Ovis aries: one gene and its partner. Each later gene encodes a partner of the first gene's protein in a complex. Links are inferred from orthologs where the notes say so. Each region holds a gene or a part of one and is shown in the gene's direction. Other genes may lie near its edges.

Region 1 (3,833 bases):
GGGCATCATCTGCCTATTCCATGTATCACTCTATATGTCTGGCAAAATTGATTTCTGCTGGTATTTTCTGTGGGTATTTATAACTGCCTTCAAAGATTTAAATATGAGACTCTTTGGATATTTTCAATTTGTCTTTTTATCATTCTCAGTAGTCTTGTGTGCTAGTCACAGTGGAGGATGTATTTTATATTGCTGTTGCCTACAAATATTATTGTAATTAAAATATGAATATTTATACCAACATTGGAAGGAAATACTGTATGGTGGATCAGTTAAAGAGTTTTTGGCTGTTCTAAATCTAGATCAACAAAGCATTTATGGTAAATGATGAAAATGACCTCTGTTTTGTGTCAAAATGTGTGTTATGAAATTATTAATCCAGGAAATGGTTACTACAGATGAACCTGAGTCATCTCTCTGGTTTCACCTCTGGGAAAAGTATTGCATAGTTTTTTAACAACTTCTAAATAAAGATTAATAATATAGTCTAAGCATAGCTTTAGTTTTCTGAATGCTCTTTATAACACAGATTTGCTTAAATATCAGTAAGCTTTAAAATTATTCATCTCACAAGGAGTTGAATATGAAACACAATTGAACTCCACTGCATTGAGTTAGCTTCTTTGCCAAGATGTAATTATGATTGTTCAGGTCTTGAAATCTTTTCAACAAATGAGTATAGAACTGTGAAGCCACAAGTTGGCATAAGTAGATATACCATTCTTCATTTTGCATCTCTTTAAGTAATAACTAGGAGGCACAAGTCTAACATAACTTTAAAAAGTATTGACCCCATTTAATATGGAGACAGGAAATACCTGGAGAAGAAACAGTTTGAAGCTAGGATTGATCTCAGAGGGAGAGCCTTGAAGAGACATGAGCGGTCCTGAAGGGTGGGGTTCCCTGCCTGGTTTAAACCTGGGTAACCTGGATGAAAACCAAGAGTCCTAGCGACTAGACCACCAGGAGTTAGAGGTAGAAGCATAGTGGCCCTGGCTCTTGCCCCTATTTGAAAGCAAGAATGTTTCAAGGAGGGAAAAACTGTAATAACAGGTACAAAGTTTATTGTTAGAGACATAGCACAATGTGTGGGAAAGCATACAGGAAAACAGTTTGTTTATCTAACTCAGAACCAGGGCAGAGATACACACCCAGAGGAAAGGGGTATGGGCATCCTCTCTAGTGAGGAGGAGGGCAGTATGTCAGAAGCTAGGCAGAGAGACACATGCAGAGAGGAGTTGGAGCATCCTGAGTGAGGAGGAGCTCAGTACAGAGGTGATGTAAATCACTTATATAAGACAGTCTCTCTGGGACTTTGTTTACCTTTGGCCAATTACTTTGTTTCTTTCTTCACCCTTGGCTGGTCCATGGACCCTCCTCAAGATGTGTGAGCAACTTTTCTCTAAGGTGGATCCCACCTCAGAGGTCTATGGTGCATGTCCACACTTATGGGGTGGGTTCCCCTCCCTTTTCAACCCCCAAGAAGCCTTTTGGCACATATGCAAACAGGAAGTCTTCCTTGACCTCAAGAGCGAGTACTTTTATCTCTTTGCTTTAGCAGAGCTCAACTTTTGCCACTAGCTTTGTCTTTGGAGGGTCTGGGTTAGAACAAAAGCTCAGTTTTACTCCACCTGACAAACACCAGGTGTCTGGCCCAGAGGCACATTGTCTCCTACCTCAGGATGATCTCTTTTGTTTAGCTTGTAATAATTTGATAACTTAATCTCTTGTGACCTGATATCTTAGATCTTAACTAAACTTCAGAAATCTTAACTAGACTGTCAATAACCTGTACTTTGTATTTCACTATTTTCCATACAGCATCATTTGATAATATTCATAACTGATATGTTCATTTTCTAAATCAAAGGGAATTAAGCTTAATTTGGACTTTGGAAATTTGGGGTCATCCTTTGACAACTAAAAATAATACAAAATGTTTGAAAAATTTGCCTGGTTACTCTTCATTCTCTTTCTTTCATTAAAATGCATTCAGTAATGCATATATATGGAATCTAGAAAAATGGTGATGAACCTGTTTGCAAGAGCAAGAATAGAGATGCAGACATAGAGAATGGATTTGTGGACAGAGTGGAGAAAGGAGAGGGTGGGATGAATTGAGAAAGTAACATTAAAATATATACATTACCATGTGGGAAATAGAAAGCTAGTGGGAAGTTGCTGTGTAACACAGGGAGTTCAGTCTGGTGCTCTGTGATAACTTAGGGGGGTGGGATGGGGGTGGATGAGAGGCAGGCTGAAGAGGCAGGGGATGTATGTATACTTACATACATTCTGCTGACGTTGTACAGCAGAAACCAACACATTGTTAAGCCACTAAGAACTAAATATATATATTACATACATATAAAGTTTTGGAATGTGTTCAAAATTAAAATAATTAGCTAAATAAATGGAAATATCTACTTAAAAATTAATTATCTATTGGTTGCAAGAATGCAGGAATACCAAACTATATGTAGTATATTGAAAGTGACTCAGTAACATTTATTTTTATCTTTTAAAATATCAGAAATACTAGAAGAGATTTCCATAGTGGCTAAGATTAATTGCCACTTTATCATTTTATTTTGGTTCATCAAATTTTTTTTTTTATTTCAGAAAAAAGTGGCAGATGACCCAAATCGGACTCCATCTATATGGCTGGCAATGTACAGAGCTTTTGGGAGACCAATTCTACTTAGTAGCACATTTCGTTATCTTGCTGACTTACTGGGTTTTGCCGGACCTCTCTGTATTTCTGGAATAGTTCAGCGTGTAAATGAAACCCAGAATGAAACAAATAACCCAACAAGAGTAAGTTTGTGGTGCCTTTGAATGGAAATATATTATTGACAAATTTCTTTTAATCGTTAACTTTTTTAAAATGCAGTTTTATGAGCAGTGCAGACAGTCTTATTAACAGAGAATTGAATGCTTTTTAAAAGAATGAAAACTGTAGTTTTCCTTGTAGAGAAAAACATTATGTATTCATTGAATGGATTTGGCCAATGAAATTATTTCTCAGATTCAGAGGCTATAAACATTTAATAGCATTTACAGTGTTCTGCAAATGATGCTCAGGAATTTCACATTGGTTATTTTATTAGATCTTTTTAGCAATCCTGTAAAGAATTTTCATTCATGAGTCCTTGGGGCTGAGTCACTTTTTCCCCAGATGGCTCAGATGGTAAAGAGTCTGTCTGCAATGTGGGAGACCTGGGTTCAATCCCTGGGTTAGGAAGATCCCCTGGGGAAGGAAATAGCACCCCACTCCAGTACCCTTGCCTGGAAAATCCCGTGGACAGAGGAGCCTGGTAGGCCACAGTCCATGGGATTGCAAAGAGTCGGACATGACTGAGCGACTTCACTTTCAGTGACCAGTGAAGTGGGCAATGTGACTTGATTTGGTTTCCTATATAGTGAAAGCCATCGCCTTGTTTCATAATGATCAGGTCAAGTCACATTATATTTTTATTAGACATTATGTTACTACTGGGGACTATATAGTGTAAAATATTTGCTGTTATAAATTTACAACCTTATATTTTCTGTTCTTAAGAAAGTCTGCGTCATGAGCTTCCCAATTTCCTTCTAAAATAAGAATTGATTTCCCTAGTTTCACGTGTAGAAACTCTAGTCCAGATGAGTCAGTTTTCCTTTTTTATGGTCTCAATCTGATTTCCAGTCCTCTTTTTTTACCTATTGGAATTGTACATATTTCTAAAGCCTTCAGTAAATGTTGCCTTCTCCTTGAAGCTTTTTCTGATTGTCCTTGTTGGTGGAATTTGATTCTCACTTTACATTGGCACTTTCCATAAATGCTATTTATA
Region 2 (2,897 bases), about 170 kb from region 1:
CAGTCAGGAAGATCCCCTGCAGAAGGGATGGACTACCCACTCCGTATGCTTGGGCTTCCCTTGTGGCTCAGCTGGTAAAGAATCCACCTGCAATGTGGGAGACCTGGGTTCGATTCCTGGGTTGAGAAGATCCCCTGGACGAGGGAAAGGCTACCCTTTCTAGTATTCTGGCCTGGAGAATTCCATGGTCTGTATAGTCTATGGGGTTGCAAAGAGTCGGACACGACTGAGCAACTTGCGCTTTCACTTTTCACTTGTGAAAGTGAAGTATTTCACAATGATACATGCAGATAAGAGAGAAAATGAACAAGTGCTTGTGTTTAGAATAGGGCATTTGATACATTAAGTTGGCTAGTGTTTCCAAAAGTATTTAACAGCCTTTGGACATGAACAGGTGAATGGATAAAGAAGATGTAGTACACACACACACACACACACACACACACACACACACACACACACTGGAATATTACTCGGCCATTAAAAAGAATGAAGTAATGCCATTTGCAGCAATGTGGATGGACCTAGAGATTCTCATACTAAGTAAGCCAGAGAAAGACAAATATCATGATATAGCTCATATGTGGAATCTAAAGATATGATACAAATGATCTTCTTTACAAAAGAGAACTAGTTTCACAGATGTAGAAAATTAGGTTATGGTTACCAAAGGGGAAAGGAGGGGAGAGGAATAAATTAGGAGTTTGGGATCAAAATATACATATTACTATATACACAACAGATAACCAACAAGGACCTACTGTATGACATGAACTATACTCAATATTATATAGCCATCATAAAGGAAAAGAATCTGAAAAAGAACATATATAACTGAATCACTTTGCTGTGTACCAGAAAGTAACACAAAATTGTTAATCCACAATACTTATGAAAAAAATTAGCCTTTGAAAGGAGAACATGAAAAATTCAGCTTCAGTGTTATTTCCTGATTCAAAAATCTGAACTGATGGCACTGTTTTCTGATCTCATTCCTTACAGATCTTTTACCTCTGCCTTCCTCTTCTCCATTGAAGTTCAAGTGACAATTGGATTTGGAGGGAGAATGATGACTGAGGAATGCCCTCTGGCTATCACAGTCCTGATTCTACAGAACATTGTGGGTTTGATCATCAATGCAGTCATGTTGGGCTGCATTTTCATGAAAACAGCCCAAGCTCACCGAAGGGCGGAAACCTTGATTTTCAGCCGCCATGCGGTAATTGCCGTCCGAAATGGCAAACTGTGTTTCATGTTCCGCGTGGGGGACCTAAGGAAAAGCATGATCATCAGTGCCTCTGTGCGCATCCAAGTGGTCAAGAAAACCACGACCCCAGAAGGCGAGGTGGTACCTATTCACCAACTGGACATTCCTGTTGACAACCCACTTGAGAGTAATAACATTTTCCTGGTGGCCCCTCTGATCATCTGCCATGTGATTGACAAGCGCAGCCCCTTGTACGATATCTCGGCCACTGACCTGGCCAACCAAGACCTGGAGGTCATCGTGATTCTAGAAGGAGTGGTCGAAACTACTGGCATTACTACACAAGCTAGAACCTCGTACATCGCTGAGGAGATCCAGTGGGGCCATCGCTTCGTGTCCATCGTGACCGAGGAGGAAGGTGTGTATTCTGTGGATTACTCCAAATTCGGCAACACCGTGAAAGTAGCTGCTCCAAGGTGCAGTGCCCGAGAGCTGGATGAGAAGCCTTCCATCCTTATCCAGACCCTCCAGAAGAGTGAATTGTCCCATCAGAATTCTCTAAGGAAGCGCAATTCCATGAGAAGAAACAATTCCATGAGGAGGAACAATTCCATCCGCCGGAACAATTCTTCCCTCATGGTGCCCAAGGTGCAGTTTATGACTCCCGAGGGAAATCAGAACACTTCCGAATCCTGACAGCAAGACAACCCCCAGAAAGTCTTTGATCCGCTGTTGAAGAGTTTCTGCAGGGCATGGACAGATTGCACTGGAGCTGAAACACAATAATTTGTCCTTGTTTATCTTATTACACTAAATGATATGCATATTCCAACAGCAGCACTTTCTGTGTCAATAAATGGTAACTCACAAGGTGGAGGGTTCCTGTCTTACACTTGCTTCACCCTTGCAATATCACCCTATCACCCTAAGTGATAGGCTTAGGTTATACAGAGGAAATGCTCTCATTTCTGTCCATTTGAAACACAGGAATTACAAGAATAGTAATAGACCTTGAATACAAAAGCGGGTCAAGAAATGATACTGCTTGAAATGCTTAATGGGTGACATCACAGATGTCTGTTTCTATGGTTCACCCTGGAAAAGGGATAGAATGGACAAGATGACCCCAAACTATGTTTTTCCTACCTCCCTTTCCCTCTCTTTTTAAAACTACACCAGGTACAAAGCTTGAGGCAAAAACTGCTTGATTCCTTTTTTGCTTTTTTGTTTATTTTGCTGATTAATTTTTAAATATTGGATTTTATTTGTTCCTCAAATTGTATATTATGAGGAGAAATAGTATTGGGAAATTGCACTAAAATGTTAGGCAGGAACATCTGTGAAATTGGAAAACAACAACTGAGTTCAGTTCTAATCATGAACATAATTCCTACATGAACATAATGGAATCTAACTAGAAACCAAAATTCCTATTCTGTTAAATCAGCTTATTGCAGTGTAAGGCTTAATGTTTCAAAGCTAGAAATCACCCCACAATATGACTGATGAATGAAAGTTCCTGTTAACTTCTCATTCAGGGTCTTGAAAACATGAACAGAAACTTGCTAATTTATTTTTGGATTTTCCACAGAAAAACTGCTTAGTTCTAATCACTTCTACGTGGATTCTGTTCACTCACTTGGTTCTTCACAGTGACCTCCAGAGGTTTCTTTGCCCCCTTCATGGCCAC

What was found.
Region 2: the proteins of ABCC9 (region 1) and KCNJ8 are in contact, whole or in part, in a cryo-EM structure (PDB 7MIT), measured with the Rattus norvegicus proteins. The link is inferred for Ovis aries from reciprocal best matches to the Homo sapiens genes ABCC9 and KCNJ8. Residues at the interface, in XP_038963045.1 of Rattus norvegicus: Phe5, Ile10, Tyr13, Asn14, Ile15, Val19, Asn22, Cys24, Phe25, Ala28, Leu29, Val32, Val35, Phe36, Phe39, Phe42, Pro43, Ile44, Phe46, Ile47, Gly48, Trp49, Gly50, Ser51, Lys55, Gln57, Ile58, Asn129, Phe130, Lys132; in NP_058795.3 of Rattus norvegicus: Met1, Leu2, Lys5, Ile7, Ile8, Pro9, Glu11, Tyr12, Val13, Leu14, Ala15, Arg16, Ile17, Ala19, Glu20, Asn21, Leu22, Leu45, Ala46, His47, Lys48, Asn49, Gly54, Arg55, Phe56, Leu57, Asp59, Ile60, Thr62, Thr63.

The regions. Positions count from the first base shown.
Region 1 is NC_056056.1:193,842,383-193,846,215, forward strand, and holds part of ABCC9 (ATP-binding cassette sub-family C member 9), read left to right. Parts: intron 1-2,622; coding exon 2,623-2,817; intron 2,818-3,833. UniProt on the Homo sapiens protein: Subunit of ATP-sensitive potassium channels (KATP). Can form cardiac and smooth muscle-type KATP channels with KCNJ11. KCNJ11 forms the channel pore while ABCC9 is required for activation and regulation.
Region 2 is NC_056056.1:194,013,137-194,016,033, forward strand, and holds the end of KCNJ8 (ATP-sensitive inward rectifier potassium channel 8), read left to right. Parts: intron 1-1,002; coding exon 1,003-1,903; 3' UTR 1,904-2,081; downstream 2,082-2,897. UniProt on the Homo sapiens protein: Inward rectifier potassium channels are characterized by a greater tendency to allow potassium to flow into the cell rather than out of it.